4 linked regions of the Drosophila melanogaster genome follow. The protein of the gene in region 4 interacts with the protein of the main gene of each other region in a pairwise test. Each region holds a gene or a part of one and is shown on either strand. Other genes may lie near its edges.

Region 1 (3,357 bases), 1.8 Mb from region 4:
GCTGCCTTGTGTGCGCATCTGTGTGTTTATGTCCAAGTGTTTACGGCCATCAATGTACAGAACTTAACCCATTAATATTAGCTAAGCAGAAGCCACAGCATGCACACACAATATCAAGGTCTCCACTATCGCGAGTTGTCCTCAACATGAAAATTGTGAAAATGCTTTTACTTTTTAGCGTAAATCGATTTGTACATATGTACATACACATACGCATATGACGCGAGATTTTCTAAACGAAACATTCATACGTATTCATTTCTCCGTTTATGGGGTTCCAGCTAATAATCCTATGGTATTTCATGGCATATAGAATGCTAGACATCTCGAGGCTTTTTCAAACTGCATGCGCACCAGCAAAAAGTGAGTTCCATTAGATGATGATTAATACTGCCTAAGATCATGATCTTCATGTTAGTCATGTTTAAAGCCAGTTATATCCCAAGAACGATTTAACACCAATGACGAATTTCAAATGTATCGTATTTATTATTTCGGACCTATTAAATGCCTATCAAAGATTGTTTACAAATATATATCGCTTTATTATTTTAGAAGGTTTGTAAAAACCATATTATTGCTTTAATTAGAAAACTGGCGGAAAATCGTTTGCTTAAGGAGTAGGAGTAGTCGTAGAAGTTGTTGAGGTAGACTGTGTGGATGATTCCGTAGAAGAAGACTGCGTGGTGGAAGCAGTCGTGGAAGAAGACTCGGTGGAGGATTCCGTAGATGAAGAAGCCGACGAGGACGCAGTCGTTGGTGTAGATTCCGTTGATGAGGAAGCTGTGGATGAAGCAGTCGTTGATGAAGACTCGGAGGAGGACTCAGTTGAAGAAGCAGTCGATGAAGAATCAGAGGGCGACTGAGTCGTTGTATCCGAGCAGCTGGTCGGCCTGGTTGTCACACATGAGCTGGTGGTTGAATCAAAGAACGGCGTGGAGGCGCCGCAAGTCATATAGAGGGCAACCCAGGTGGTTCCAGATTTCTGGCAGTACAGGTAGCTGTTGCACGTGGAGTCATCGGTTATTCTGGTAAAGAAGTAACTAGGATTGGTACTAGGCTCGCCAGCATTGCACAAATCCTCTTTCTGCGCAGCACTAGGAGTTGTCGTTGGAGCCACTGTAGTTGTTGTGGTTGGCTGATAAATACTGTTGCTACAGGTGGCATCCAATCCAAGCTATAAGGTATAACATGTTAGTATGAATAATTTTTAAAGTCCAACAAAACCTACAAATTCGGAGGCACAAGACGGTACACAGACGGTTTGATACGTCGACAGAGCATCTATGATACAAATCTCATCTGTGCCGCAATTGTACACACTGCTGGTCAGCACATCGCCGGCGGAGGAGCAGCGGGCATACTGGGTGCTGCTGACACAGGCGTATTTGGCGCCTGAGGAACACACTTCGCACTGAGCTCCATTTCCGCCAGAGCCTCCACACACGTCCAATATGGTCGAATTTACCTCGGAGATCAGAGCACAAACGCTATCAGAATTGGAGCAAACGGTGCCCGAAGGACATTCGATAATATCTCCAACTGGACCATTTTCTGAGGTAAGAAATAGAATGTTTACATGAAAGGACTTTAGGTATTAAAGGACTACGGTCCAGGACTTACTCATGCAATTCTGATAGCTGTTCTGATCAACGCAGTACACATCGTTTTGCTCCAGACAAGTCTGACATGACTGAGCTGCCACGAACGATAGTCCACACGCCATGATGGCCACCAAAGCGATTATCCTCTGCATGTTCCTGCCAAAGTTTTTACACCTTTTCGGTAGTGCTGCTCAACCTGAACGATTTACTGATATGATCCCAACCACCCATCTGCCGTCTTATATAGCGGAGGAGCTCACTATGCATTAACCTTCAATTGTTTATGGGTTGATAATATTGTTTGTCAGATTTCGTTGTCTATGCCTGCCAAAAGTCTATCATCATAAAGTAATATTGAAGCGATCTAAATGACAGCAACATGCTTTTTAATTTTACGTACTTCATACCGGGAAATGCGGTTCATAAAGTGTAATCGTACATATGTATATGGTATTTTTGAAGGTCTATTGACATTTCTGTTACCGTTTGAGTCATGTCTTTTCGAAATACATTCTTTCTTTATAAAATCTGAAGTTTAAACTTTTATTTCTATTTTTTGTAACTTGCTTTATTTTTCAATACACAGCGCACACATATGTTAGTAGCAGTTATTATAAACGAACAAAACATGTTTTCCAAATCCCATAATATTTTATATATATTTAAAAGTAGTGGTATGCAAGTATGTTTTGCAAATTATTTGATAAGTCGATTTAGGAGCATCCCGTTGGTTTCGTCGATACGCAAAGGCTGGTCGTAGAATCGAAATATGGCTTGGGTTGGTGGCAGGACAAATAAACAGTGTCCCATTCGGTGGATTCAGTTCTTTCGCAGTAGAGATAAGTGTGGCAGGAAGTATCCTCCTTGTAGATCGTAAAGAAGTACAAGGTTTCCTTAGGTATTTGAAGATCTTTTTCAGCTTCAGTACAGGCACTATTTTTCTGCTCTGTACTGGGTGTGACAGTTGTCGGTGCTGCGGTAGTTGTTGTCGTGTATTCACTGTTGCTGCAAGTGGCTCTCACGTCGAGCTGCAAAAAACAAAACAAAAAAAAAAAAGGACTAGAACACAACATAATTAAGTTACCCAGGAATACCTACAAAATCGAGGACACAAGAAGGCGTACATATGTTGTCGTACTTTTCCAGTGCTTCCGAACTGCAAATCTCATCAGTATCGCAGTCATAGATGTTTGAGTCGACCACAACCGATTCGGAACATCTCGCAAATTGATTTTTGCTAACACAAGTATATTTCTGATTTGTGCATGTTGCACATTGGTTTCCACCGGAGGTTCCACAGACATCGACTTCAGATTCTGCTAGATCAGAGCTTTTCACACAAACATTTTTCGAGTTTGTGCAAACCGTATCGTCGGGGCAGCTTATCACGTTGCCAAAAGGCTTGCTTTCTAAATGAAATCTTTTCAGAACTAAGTACTGCCGGAACTTAATTTTAAACTTACTGATGCAATTCCTATAGGAAGTTTGGTCTACACAATACACATCGTTATCCTCTAGGCACTCCTGGCACTCTAATGCCTTCACAATAGCTAGACCACAAAAAACTATGGCCAAAATCAGGAGAGTTCGCTTCATTTTCCAAAGGATTTCCAGTAGATTCCCTGGTAAAAACTCAAAATAGTTTGACGTTTTCGTTCAATGCACTTCCAGTCTTATATAGCTAGGAAATGCAACTTTTAGTGACGTTTTTATGGCAAATCTGATAGTATTGTTTGTCAGATTTGGTTACACC
Region 2 (3,547 bases), on a different chromosome or scaffold from region 4:
CGAAAGGAGCGCAGGTTTGGACGAAGATCAAATTAAAAGCAACACAAACAAACATATTTTGTATAGTGTCCATAGCGCGTCGTTTGAATGATCCATTGAGTGAATATGTTAAAATAGAGCCCCGTCACCTGGGGGTTGGTATGTACCAGCACGATGTTCCCGAGAAGATTTTGACGGCATCGCTGAATGACGTTGTGTCCGAGTGTGTCAGTTATGTTGGCGTTGATCTCAACACAGCCAGTCTGAGTGTACTCAAGTATGTGTGATTAAGGGTCAAATAAGTTATATATTTTTAATATTCTCCACCATATAGGCACATTGCTGGTCTGTCGGAAAAGAAAGCGGAAAAGATCATTGAGCATCGTACGCAGAAAGGACCATTCAAGACACGGAAGGATCTGCTCTCCGTGCGAAGCATAGGTGAGAAATCGTTTGTCCAGTGCGCCGGTTTTGTGCGCATCGAACCCCGAAGCGTTGGAGGACAACTACAGAATCCATTAGATTGCACTTGGGTGCATCCTGAGAGCTACAACGTTGTGGAAAGGTAAGTCCAATATTCAATTGACTTCATTAACCAATAATAATGAGACTTTATTCCGCCTGATTCATCGCAAGCCTGGCCTTTTCATCCGCTGCCCTCACTAACAAGGAGGTGTCACTAGGTGTCACAATGTCACTTTCGTGTTGCGTGATGCCAGCTATGTTCTTTGGACAATCGTCGTCAAAATTCTTAAGATTTGTAACATCCTCGCTAGATTCCATTTGACACCAGCACGGAAGGTACGGCTTCAAGGGATCCTTCTTGTCGCAACGCTTGCAGGTGCAGTTCTCCATGCCGGCACTCATAAAAGTCCGGAAGTCCGTCTCCTGACTCAAAAGCCCCAGATAGTCCTCTATAGAGTGCTCTTTCATAGGGTCCATCAGCTCCGCCCACGTCTTTAGCTTCACGATCACGCCAAAGAAATACGTGTTTAAGTCCTCGATTATTTGCAGCACCGAATCTAGCTCTTTCAAGAATGTACTTCCTAAAGACCGGTCCAACCTGGCTACGCGTTGATCTAGCTCCTTTTTCGACTCACTCATGTCCAGGTATAAATTGCTCAAATCGGTGCTAAAAAGTTTTAAATTAGCAGTGGCTGTGTATTTTTAATAGACTTACTTTGACTGATTGACGATATTGTAGGCTCTCTGAAACTCGCAAAGGGCCCGCTCTTCGGTCATCCGGCTTATGTACTCGGGATAGGTCTTAGTGCATCCGGTCGAGCTGGCTAAAATGCGATAACGCACTCCATGGTAACGCATCTCCTTAACCCTCTCAATCTGAAATGGTTTGGCCTGCTCCAGCTCATTCTTCAGGGCCTTCATTTTCTGGTCAACTACTAGAGTTTGCTCGTGCACACACTGCTCAAGCTTAAAATCGTAGCGGGAGTAGATATTCTCACAATGCTTGAAGGTTGGCTTCAGCAAATGGATGGGAATGGTCGATCCCCGGCACGGTGGCGGAAGCGGACGACGCTTGTACCGCTCCGGCGGATACTCCCAGCAAACTCCAAAGCGGGTTTGATCCTGCACATTGAGCGGATGCTGCCAGCAGGGCTTGTATTTCGGCTTATCGTTGTGGCCGTAGAATGCTACCTTTCCACATGCAACATATCGAAGCTTGGCTGGCGGCACAATTGGAGGATAATGCCAGCGCTCCGCATATTCCTGCTTTAGCTTGGCAATCATTATAATGGAAAATTTGAAAACTTAACTCTAAAACCAAATACTTTTTGTGCTTTCAGTATTGTCGGAGAATGTGACTTAAAGCTGTCGGATGTGGGCAAGGCTGCCTTTATAGCTAGCATCAAGCAGTTTGCCTCATCCCAGCCTAATCTCGATCGCATTGCCAAGCAGCACAAGCTGCCCATGGAGCGAGTAAGTGCCACTCAATCTATACTAAACAGGCCTATTGCAATGTTCAAATAATTTAAAATAAATTTCCTTTCAGTTGGAGTTCCTGTTGGTTGCCCTGCAGCGCGAATTACTTCAGGATTATCGAGCAGATCTGGACAAGAGGCCACTGTTCAAACAAGGTCTAACTAGGCTGGATGATCTTAGCATGGGCGAGGTGGTCACTGGCAAGTGGAGACTATGATAGTCATTTCATATATGTACTTATTGAAACTATTCCGACACACAGGTGCCGTGACCAACGTAACCCAGTTTGGCGCCTTCGTGGACGTTGGAGTGGAGCGCAATGGCCTCATACACAACAGTAACATGAATAATTCGCAGCTGAGCGTTGGCGATCGCATTGTGGCATCGGTGGTAAAGGTGGATCTGAAGCGACGCCAGTTGGAATTACGTTTGGAAAATATGCTGATGGAGACGGATACCTCGTTTAAGTTCAAGGCGGAGGATTAGACAAACTGCAGGGATTTAATGCTTTCGGAAGTATTTAATGATTCATATCGTAATTGTTTGGTTGCTCACACGAGCATTCATATATACTATATATAGTTCATATATATATTTATATATATGTGTATATGCATAGTATAACGGCTTTCCTAAGTTTAATCAAAGCTTATCAGTTAGTAATAAATGTTCACATAAAAATCACCGTCTCCACGTTCGTCTTCTTGTTTCCCTTCTCGCCACAAGTTGGCAAGTTGTCTTAAATGAATTGTTATCGAAAGGGTATTGCTTTAGAAACTAAGTGATGCCCTCTTAAGCCAGTTAAAATAAATATACAATATGCATACATTTAGGCGCTTGGTTTGCAGCAGGCAAGTTGCTTTCACTTTTAGTTAGTTTGTATTTTCGAATTTATTGCCGTTTCAGTAGAATTGTTAAAAATTATTATAAACAATGTTATATAGTCTGCATTTACATAATTACACAATACCATAATCATAATATATTCAAAAATATATGATGCATTTAATTTTATTTTTTCCTCCATCTCTCTTTACCCCGTAATGGATATTTAATTTCATATTCTAGCTACATGGACATGTCGCGTAATCAACCGATAGTTGTTTAAATAAATATATTAATCCGTACATAATATTGGAGTAACTGTTCCTACACAGTTAAATGTGATAATGTATCGCAAAAGACCAAAAACAAGTTGTACACGGTATGGTAGTAATTGCTTAAGCTTAATGCTAATGCGCTTGTCCTCTTCTCAATTCTCATTTCGTTATTGTTACTGCCGATGTTCTCCATCTTGTGGTTGTGTAGAGATATTGTTCATTAATTAATAATTTATTTTTATCATTTATAATGATAGCATAGGTAATGATGTAAGTATTGTTTATCAACTCTTGTAATAATAAGTCTATGTGTATAAGCAGTTTTCATTCTCGTTCCTAAACAGCCGTCCAGCAGAATCTTTGGCGGAGCAAATATGAACGATAATTCAAATTCGAATCGATCTGACTGTGTAGCTTTAAATCAGGTGAAACCGATCTCGAATACCCTCATTCTGGATAAGTAGCATGGTAAATATAAAATCAACTGCACGAATTCGAGATAATCCTCTGGTTGCCGAGATTATGCC
Region 3 (7,696 bases), on a different chromosome or scaffold from region 4:
TTAAGAACCCAAGAGCGAGGCTCTCCCGAAATACAAATATTGTTCAAATACTGAGGCTTCTCCTCAATCCAATTTGCATTTGATTTTTAGTCTTAAGCTGAGATCCAAAGAATAAAGTCGTGAAACTATTTCTCCTAAAAACTATTTTTTATTTCTTGGCGTTGTCCTTAGTCAACTGACGGGACATTAGTTCGACTCATAAATAAAACAACAATTTTACTATATATATATATATATATATATATGCTGGTGTGTTGTATATATAAGTTTATAAAGTTTATGTATGTAATACGTTTAAAAAGATTTTTTGGTTTCTTTCCTTCTTTTTTTTGTAATGTTTTTTTGGAAAAAGTATTTCTGTTACGTTGCGGTTTATGATTACGTTTAAACATACTTATCAGTTAGCGGGTTCCGTAATCTTGGTTTCAATTTGATTAATACGTCTCTTAGATCACTAGTATTACAATGGATGCTATTTGTGTCGCTCGTTTCGTATTAGCTTTCTGGGTATTTTTTTCTTGTTGTTTTTCTTTCTGTTTTTTTGTTTTTTTTTGGTTGTTTTGGAAAATGCTTTCTGTGGTCGAACCTGCTTCTTAGTGAAAACATATTTTGTAATACCTAACTCTTTGGTTAGCTAACGACTAGAACGTAGGAAGAGAAAGGAATCCGATTCACATTGAACGCACGACGTCTGATTCACCGGCCCCAACCAGGATCCTGATTTCGTGGCTGCTCGCAAAATGGTTAAATGGTTCTACTAATGGATACATATTGCTTAGTCGATTGCAGCAGCGATTGGGGCGGAAAATCAGAGATATACCAGTGGAGAGCAACAGCGGAAGTCAACACAGCGCAACTGAATTCGATCCAAATCCAAATCCAAATCCGATCCGGGACATCAAGCCATCCTCTCTAAGTTGGACTATCCGCTTTGGAACCGGCATTCGAGTTGTCTTGCAGTTGAGCTAGTGTCTTGAACTTTTGAGAGTTTAGGAATCTGTTGAAAAAGATACCCCGTTTAAGTATAAATACAGTATCTTTTATTTTTGCCTAAAGAGCACTCACCTCGGATATGAGTCTCTGTGCATCAGTGTGTAGATCTGGATTTGAGCTTCGTCGAAGGTGTGCGTCGTGGGCTCGATCATGTTCCGGTTGACAATCTCGCGGACCCTGGAGTCCAGCGACACCTCCCTGGGCGACAGGATCGAGATGTAGTCCTCGTAGATGAGGCGCGCCTTCTCCTCCACCAACTCTGGGCTATTCTCCTTCTTGAGATCCTCGCAGGCCAGCCAGAATAGGATGTTCTCCTCACTGAATTCGCTGCGCAGGAAGTTCTGGAACACCTTTCGACCAGCTGGGAAAATATTCGGCCAACCACCAATTAGTTTGGATCAAGGTGGCAATTGTCAATGGCTTACCTGTACTTTTCATCAGCTTGTCAAAGCTTTTGCCCCAGCTGCGGATTTCCTCCAGTGTGGGTCTGTAATGTACAAATAAATGTAGTTTTTCCGTGGCTTAAGTTTATTAAGTTGATTGGTGCTCAAACTCACTGCTCGCCATCCAAGAATTCGGCATTTACCAGATCTCGCTTCGTGGGGGCATTTTCATCGGCATTCTTGATGGCCAGACTGTAAAGATAAGAAAAAAGGGAAAAAACAAGGGGGGTTTGCTTGTTAAAAGTCGATTATTTTGATTTTACAACTCATCAATCACCCTTTAAAGTATACTACAATTTTATTCATCGCTGAATTGGCGCTCAGCCTGACTCATTTTTAACTGGCACAAAATAGCATAAATATGTAAGTACAGTAGCCGCTCGATAACGTAAACTTTTAGATAGCGCAAGCTACTGATTAGCATTTTATAAAACACTTGCACCAAACATAGAAACTGAACATAAGCGATTCTACCACATTTTAAGCTAGAGAGTTTAAAAGTTACTCATATATCTGAACGCGATATAAAGATATAATGCCTCGAATAAACACTGTAGATAGGCTAATGGCATATCGGTTTTGGGTTTCGAAGCCCGGAGACAGAGCAACGGAGTACTCGAACTTGACATAAAGCTCTCTTATCTGGACGACAGTTATCAGAGCGACTCGCTGGCCCAATACCTAATCAAAGTCACACAGGCGTACATATACCCCTATACATATATGAATCAAATTAGATGCGGCCAGGGGGGGTTTGAGGCGACATCGGGTGCTCTGAACTGGGTTTTCGGGGCGATATACCCCCAAGTTGTGCACACAAAGGTGCGGACGGGGGGTTGCGAGTTGGCGGCGGGTCGCAAAAGACTTTCGTTTTCATTCACGAAAACATGCAACACTTGGAGGAGTCCGCGGAGGAGCCGCCACATACTTATTTATATTTGATTTGAAAAGTGCCCTCCAGAGAGCTTTTCGCTGCCCGTCGCCTTGCTCACGGAATTGTGAATGAATGCGGGAGAAACTGAGAGAGCGGCACCAGTGCTAAAGAGCGTTTCGTAAGAGAGAAAGCGGAGAAAGTTCGCATGGCGGAGAGAGAAAGAGCTTTTGGATGTTCAGCAGCGTTGCCAGCTGCCAGCAGAAGGCCACCTTTACCGTGTCCATTTCCATTTCAACTTCCCTATCCATATCCATATCCATATCCATGTCAGTGGGCACAGCCATAGCCGAAGCCAAAGCCAAAGCCAAGCAATAGTTAAAGCCAAAGCAATAACCATAGCTGTAACCGTGGCCACATCCATGACAGCACTGCGAGAAACATGGACTAATAATATTTCGACTCTCTTAAAAAAAGGGCTCAAACAGACAACCTTTAAAATGAAATGATTTATAAAATAAAAAAATAAAAAATTTGCAAAAAATTGATATTGAAATAAGTAAAAATAAATAAATTAATTAACAATAACGATGTTAATGTAACCAAAGATTGGTTCATCTGTTATAGTATATCTTGAAAATAAAGCTAACTAGGTAAAATAATTACGTATTTAAAATAATTGCGCATTTAATATTCTATACTTTACAGTCCAATAATACCAATCGATTCTCTCGGTGTATGAATGCATGAGTGTTTCAGGAGGTGCTTACCATTTGGCCCTGTTGTCAGGATGTGGTTGGCAGTGGATGGGTATTGGCACAGGTAGTTGTTTTAATGACCGAACGGTTGAGTCAAGGCAGCGCGGTAACGAGAAAGAAATTGATTTCGTGTCAGAGGATTCGAGCGGTGCACAAATAGGCCACTCGGTGGTGGCCTCCATACTCACCAGGAGCAGGAGCAGCAGCAGCACCAGCAGAAGCAGCAAGGCTTCTGCGACTGCGGACGCTGAAACGTGGTCGCGTTCGACTCCTGCAGCACGTTGGACGTGGAGCCGAGGATTCCCACGCTGCCGCCCACGGTGGGCGATACTCCGCCCAGGCTGCCGCCACCTCCGACGACGCCCCCGCCGCCACCGTTCCCATTGCCATTCCCATTGTTGCCACTATTGTTGGCGGCACTTTGCTGTGAGGATGCAGTCATGCCGCGCAATCGACAGCCACTGGGCAGCTCGGAAACGGTGCAGGACATGCCGCTACCTGCAATAAAGGAACAAATTGAAACGTTAATGAACACTGTGCACGGGATGGAGTGGGGGGAAAGTGTGCTGACAGTTGGGCGAATCACAGTCACACTGCAAAAAATAGCTCTATTAGTCATCTAGAAAGAATTGTTAACCAAGGTGCCCGGAACTTAACTACTTAATTGTCTTGGCTGGTGAGTGTTTGTCTTTTTGGTTTGGATCCCATTAATTTGACAAGATGTCATTCAAAAGATACTGAAACTGATTCATTATATTATAAATATTATTATAAATATTATATTTATATTATAAACATTATATTCATAAATATGTTATTTGAATCTAGTCAAAACACCTTTTAAATAAAATTGTAATATTTGTTCTTTGCATTTATCACAAAGAAACTTTATATGAAATTAAAGATTAAATAGTAAAGAAAACTGTTGAATTATTAAAACATTGATTGTTTGTATATTTAATTTACCAAAACTATCAAAATATAATAAATACATATTCGGGAAAGTGTAATCTGGAGGAGTAGGTCCAACTGCTCCCGATTCGCCTCGTTTTCCGTGTGCACTTACCTGCCCTTTGAAAGTTGAGGTTGACGCTGGCGGAGCTGACGGAGATGGTGGAGGTGGAGATGGTGATGGGTGTTGGGTGGTGAGGTGGTGCTGCCCCAGCTGGCGGACCGCCCACTGCCACTGACCTACCCACTCACCCGCTCGCTTTGGTGCTCTTTTCTTTGCTTCGGCTTCTCTTTCTCGGCTTCCTTGGGGATGTGGGGTATGCAGGGAGACCGTTACGTATTTATGTTTTTGCTAATAATTTTTTATCGAAAGTTCCCACACACTCTCTCTCTCTCTCTCTCTCTCCCTGTGGCGCTCTGTCCTCTCTTTCTCGCTCTGCCCACAGCTGCTGCTCTTGATTTTAGTTTTCGTTTTGTTTTATGTTTTTTTTCCTTCTCCTTAGCTTTTCCTTGGGCGATTTTACAAGCCGAAAAATTCCAGAAATTCTTCAAGATTTTTTCGATAACCTTTTCGAGTAGTAGTTATCCTTATCGTAGGTTCCTGACTTCAAACCTTCGCGTGGGTTTGGTTTCCGTTTTTTTTTCTAGGGGGTCTAGCGTTTCTTTAGAGAGTTGACGGTGCGCGGGTGGCATTTACATATTCCGCTCCGGATTTACGGGCGAAAATCTAGCGATTCAATGGCCCCGTGCACCAAGGGGCACATTTCACAAGCGTTACGAAATTTATGAGCAGCTGGAGCTGCCACCGTAGTTGTTGTTCTGGCCTTTATTTATTTCTTGTGCTAGTCATTACACTGCCATTGTATATGTACATATATATGTAGGCGCCGTTGTGTGCGTGCGTCTGTGCGTGTGTGCGTGAGGAGGGGGTGGGCTGGAGTACCACCACATTGACACGCAACTTGGCTAAGTGGAGCGCATTGTTTGGCCCGTTGGGCGGATGGGGCGTATGCGTGATTTTCTCCACTTGTGCTGATGTTGCTGCAACAGCTGCAACATGTAGGCATCAGCAGCTAATTGCACTTGTTTGTAACTCGAAACGCCAGCGATTTTTGGTCGTTGCACTTATCACAAATCAGCTGCTTGGGTTCTTTTGTTGACCATTGCCTTTAGCCTGGCTATCTATGTATATTATATGTATATTTTGTTTTATTTTCTTGTTGTTGAACCAGCGCTTCCGTTCAGATTTTCACTCAAACACCACACACACGTTTATATTTTCTTTGAGGATTTTTGGGCGAATGGGTGGGCGGGAAAAGGGGGTCGCGTTTGTATGTATGTATGTTTTTGAGGAGCAGCGACGAGTACATACGAATTTTTGCCACTAGAATCGGAATCGAAATGTGTATATTTGTATATATTTTTCTTTTTCGCCCCGAAATTGTTTTGCTTGTGCTTCGATTTTTTTTTTGTGAATTTCTTTACGATTTTTTTCGTTGACTGTTGAGAATGTGTGTGTGTGTATGAATACGAATTGGGGGAAACTGCAATTTTCGTGGTCACTGGACTGCCTGGACTGGCATTTTCACATTTTCACATTTCGCCCTCGGCCATATTTTATTATATTCCTTCGTGCTCGGTGCCCCCGCAATGGCAGCCAATTCCCATTCGATTTCTGCGCTCTGCGATTTTGGCTGCTCAGCACCAGCAGCACCCAGAAGCTGAAGCCAAAATCCTCGACGGGTCGATTCGAGCGTTTCGAGATTCTCTCCGCTCGGGCAAAGGCAGGCGACTGATTTCCAAGCAGTGCCGTGTCGCCAGCTCTTGATTTTGATTTTCCAATGCGCGCGCTCCTCCCGAGGAACGCAAGATAACGGCGAGTGGAAAGTGGGCAGCCGGGGGAGGGCTCCATAGGTGGACTGAGCGAAAAGCTTTGTGGAATTGCTATACAGTTAGAATTCCTGGTACACACAGGAGAGGGACTGACAGGCGGAGAGCGCGAGAGAACGGACGGTAAGACATGTGCGCGAGTCGGAAAAAGAGAATAAAGCTCGGGACTCTTCGCCCCACTGGAATTTACCGCAAAGCTTTGGGGCCAGAACTTATAAACTTTCGGCAGGGTTGCACTTACATTTTGATTTTGGGATCCCGTTGATTTCGAAAACCGTTGTTTTTAAAATGTTCGAATGAAATGGTTATATGAAATACTTTACTTTTCATAAAAATTAATATATTTTTTATTTACTATTGAAATTTCACAAAACTTTCGGAAACTAAAAGAAACTTTCTTGGGGTTTGTACACCTAAATTACGTGTATAGTCGGATGGTACTGTCCGCGCCCGTGGAGAAGACCCATGGCTGCACCGGATGCCAGTTAACATCCAGCACACCAAACTCATCGCGTTTCTCGTGTGTTTGCAGCTTCTTGAGAGGCACAATCAAAGGGTTTTGCAGCAGGTCACTAAAAAAAAGTTTGGAGAAATTCGTAATTAACCTTGGGCAATGTTGATTTATAGCCACTTACTTATAGACCATGCCATGGGAGACGATCACAGCCTGGTCATCGCTGCCGGAAGCAAAGAGCGGATATCGAAGATGGAAAGCAACACTGCGAACTGCATTGCGATGGAGTCGCATGGTCTGGTAGGGCTTTGTGGACAGATCCAAATCGAACCAGAGCATCTTTTTGTCATAGGTGGACACCAGCAGATTGTCGCCCTTGGGATGAATAGACATGCCCGATATCCATTTGGAGTTGGTCAGCAGCTTCTTGACAAGCTCTTGTTTGACCAGATCATAAATGCGAATGTTGTGTTGCGTCTGTAAAGAAAAAACAGAATTCAATAAGACATACTAACAAAAGAAAATTAACCCACTTACCGCCACAAAGAAGCAGGGCTTCACCGGATGGAAGAGCACGAATTGGATGAGACCCTTGCTCTTGGAGAATGGAATCTGTGAGCGCCGCTTGGACAACTGATGAATTAAAGCCGAGCGGTTAGCACCTTCGGGCATCACTGTGGCCAAGTAGTCACCACGACCGTGCCAGGTCACCTGTCGGATGGGTTTGAAGTGGGTAATCACTACGCGGACGCCCTTCTCCTGCTCATCAGCTTCCGCATTTGACCATTGCACCGCCGTCTTGATGCGTTCACTTTCAATGACATCCTGACTGGGCGCCTCAGCCAAGAGATCGTCGGTCTTCTTCACCAGCACCTTATCGCCCACTTTAGGATTGACGAGCAGCAAGCGATTGCCAGTGGCCACCGCAATAATAGACAGCTTGGGATTTGGACACCAAGCCACACAGCGTACCACTTCGTCGGTCTCGATTGTGCGAATGCAACGACCTGTTGCAATTTCCCAAACTGTGAGGTGAGATGGATTAGTAAGAAGATATCTAAAAGGTTGTCAATTAAATTAGTACTTACTCTTGACGGTTTTATCATCCGAACCGGAGACGAGGTACTCTCCCTTGGGCTCCACACTAACAGACCGCACCAGATCGGTGTGGCCACGGTAAACCATACTCTCCACCGTGGGAAAGGGTTGCAGGTCACGCGGCGAGGGCAACTTGGGGATAAGGTACTCGGCATCGATGTTCAGCTTGACACGCTTTGCACGGGGACACAGGTAAAGATCCAGGCAACGAAGGAAACGCTCCCGAAGGTATCTCGAG
Region 4 (2,666 bases):
TGGTAGCTGCTGTCTAATTAGCGTTTTGTGACAACCGCAGAAAAATAAAAGCGTTTCGAAATGGGTTTGTAATTGGCAAACATTTTGTTTGACCCACCCGAAGCGAATCTAAGCCGTACTAAAATTATATTTAATTTCATTTGTATTTATCGGCTTACAAACTTGTTTTCGTGGGTGGTCTTGTTTTGTGTTTGTGGTTGCCAATAATCTTCTTATTGGATTAGAATTTCTTGAATTATTAAGTTTTAAAATTATTCTTGATTCCTTTGGCTTTAAAATCAGCTTTATATGTATAGAGAATCGTTCAATTACGTTTTGGTGAAATCTTTGCGTCATGTCAATCAAGATAAGATTAGTTGTTATTTTATACTTTATCGTATGGACATTTGTTAACTAAGTGCGCAGTACACGTATTTTTGGAATGCAGAAATCCATTACGAGTACATACATATATAAAAAATTCTACATGAATTATCATCGTACTTCTTAATTTATTTATTTTTACTTTCCCCAAGGAAACTAGCATTCAAAAATGTCTTTGTATAAGTCTAAGTGGTTTTAATGATTTTTTTGGTTTTGTTTTTTGTACACTTTATGTAATAAATTAAATTCGCTTATAAACACTTTCATTATTTCGCCACCTGATGGCTGTGGTTTTTAAGACCTTCCTTCCATTCCATTGTACTAGCAGTGATGATGATGATGTCCATGGTGAGGACCATGATGATGGTCAAAGTGGCTGCCGTGGTGATGATGATGATGATCGTAGTGGGGCGGCGGTGGCGGAGGTCCGTAGTGGTGGTGGTGGTGCGGCGGGGGTCCGTGGTGGTGCATTGGAGGTCCGTGGTGGTGATGGTGGTGCACCGGAGGCGGTGGGTGATAGTGGTGCACCGGAGGCGGTGGATGATGGTGGTGGTGATGATGTCCACCTCCACCCAAATTCAGGCCAAGGTGGATTCCAAACAGGCGATTTTCGTGATGTGGCGGCGACATTTTGAATGTTTTACTTTTTTTAATCCTTATCAAACTGATATATTCCTTTCGAAAACTGCTCTCGTTGCTTGTTGAATGCTAACTGCCTTTCCATCCGCTGATATGACCAGTTTATATACACATCCCACTTGAACAGCTTGACAATTCAGATAGTATTATTGTTGTGCTGCTTTATCTTATCGAAGGGGGTGTGTATTCGACTGACTCACTGGGGATTCACTTCGATTCTATTGCTAATACTCAAAGTGGGCTATAAAGATAGCAATGTTTTTGTGCAATCATGGATCGGGAATTACTCACCGGACTAATTCATAACATTTAAGCGCTTTTATTCTTTTCATTCTTAACGAATGTAATGACAGTAATAGTAATAGCAGATGTAAGAAAAAACAAAAAGTATTTCGCAGACAAAACATCAATTTGATATTGCAAAAAAAAGGATGCTGACAAATAGATATGTAAAAGGTAAAATAAAACTTTAAGACCCCGCCAACAATAATTTCCGCCTTGTTTGCCAGACGTAGTCCTAAACAAAAAATAAGAAAATACAGTACGAAAGAAGAAAAGCGAGGAAAACCAAAAAGGCACTAAAGACACCCAACACAAGCACAGAGAAAGTGCGAGCAGGAAGGCAATAACCAGAAAGCTTTTGCATGAAGATTGGCATGGGTGGAGGTGTTTATATACCCCCTTTCGACCATTTCAATAAAAAAAATTGCACAGAAAGAAACAATCTCTTGATATAATTTCTTCTTATCAACACTTGCATAATATTTTCGTCTTTAGCTTGACAATCTTATCAGTGTATTGAGTATGAGTTATTTACCATGAAGAGGATATCTCTCAAAATAGGTACATGATTTTAGGGATTCCCTGTAAACTAATGTTAACTTTTCATAATGTTGCTAAAATAAAGTAGCTTTTTTAACTGATCTTATTAATAGAATATTTGATATTTACTGTAAGACTAGAGCCTGCGTACTGATGTAATATAATTTTGAGCCGAGTTATTAAAAACCAATGATTTTCTCAGTGCACCACACAACTCCACATGAAGGCGACTTCAGTGCGTGACAATAACTTTTGCCTTTGAGCCGCCTTAATGGCATGGGAAGGATGACTTTTGGGGGTGTTGGAATTAAGGGATGAGGGGCCACGGGCTGCGGACGACTCTGATAAACTGCGTTAGAAGTTATAAAGCGATTAGAGTGTGTCTGGAGTGCGTCTTGGGAGCAAAAGAGTGGGGTAGACAGAGCGGGCTAAGAGAAGGAAACAACTTTATGCTGTATCAATTTAATGCTTATTTAAAGTGCGACCAGAGGTTTTGTCCTCCTGCAGTTCAGGGAGCTAAAACGATATAGGAAATGAGTAAAAAAGAAGCTGGAAAGTAGGGGGAAAGCAAATAGAAGGGGGCAATGCAGGTAATACATAAATTTGATTTTATGGAGTTGCTTTTCAAAGAACTTCTGCAAAAGTTTGGTAATACATTTTATTAGCTTTGTAAAGAAATCTTTTGGTGGTAGATAAGGCAACCTTGGAGGAAAATAAGAAGAAAAGGATATTTGAGAAAGTTTTAGAAAAAAACTTCGAAGTTTATTAATGAAATTGGAACAATAAATTGAATTTATTGGCAACTTATTATAAACTCATAATAAATAGTAATTTACAAGAAA

What was found.
Region 1: the proteins of CG13482 (region 4) and CG13075 interact in a two-hybrid assay, tested with the Drosophila melanogaster proteins (one large-scale study listed by BioGRID).
Region 2: the proteins of CG13482 (region 4) and CG13843 interact in a two-hybrid assay, tested with the Drosophila melanogaster proteins (one large-scale study listed by BioGRID).
Region 3: the proteins of CG13482 (region 4) and Dhit interact in a two-hybrid assay, tested with the Drosophila melanogaster proteins (one large-scale study listed by BioGRID).

The regions. Positions count from the first base shown.
Region 1 is NT_037436.4:16,082,435-16,085,791, reverse strand, and holds CG13075 (uncharacterized protein), read right to left. Parts: upstream 1,800-3,357; 5' UTR 1,757-1,799; coding exon 1,624-1,756; intron 1,555-1,623; coding exon 1,232-1,554; intron 1,178-1,231; coding exon 614-1,177; 3' UTR 528-613; downstream 1-527. Other genes in the region: CG33258 (uncharacterized protein), read right to left, coding at 2,318-2,632, 2,703-3,013, 3,068-3,200.
Region 2 is NT_033777.3:22,607,719-22,611,265, reverse strand, and holds CG13843 (uncharacterized protein), read right to left. Parts: upstream 1,782-3,547; 5' UTR 1,729-1,781; coding exon 1,160-1,728; intron 1,112-1,159; coding exon 592-1,111; 3' UTR 551-591; downstream 1-550. Other genes in the region: CG31156 (uncharacterized protein), read left to right, coding at 1-14, 67-256, 314-544, 1,785-1,917, 1,991-2,120, 2,183-2,406.
Region 3 is NT_033778.4:17,790,986-17,798,681, reverse strand, and holds Dhit (double hit), read right to left. Parts: upstream 5,813-7,696; 5' UTR 4,132-5,812; intron 3,564-4,131; 5' UTR 3,556-3,563; coding exon 3,254-3,555; intron 3,087-3,253; coding exon 3,078-3,086; intron 2,797-3,077; exon of another isoform or gene 1,629-2,796; coding exon 1,551-1,628; exon of another isoform or gene 1,481-1,550; coding exon 1,419-1,480; exon of another isoform or gene 1,355-1,418; coding exon 1,066-1,354; exon of another isoform or gene 998-1,065; coding exon 913-997; 3' UTR 554-912; downstream 1-553. Other genes in the region: CG5033 (uncharacterized protein), read right to left, coding at 6,325-6,478, 6,542-6,837, 6,898-7,385, 7,449-7,696.
Region 4 is NT_037436.4:14,327,764-14,330,429, reverse strand, and holds CG13482 (uncharacterized protein), read right to left. Parts: upstream 1,085-2,666; 5' UTR 994-1,084; coding exon 685-993; 3' UTR 545-684; downstream 1-544.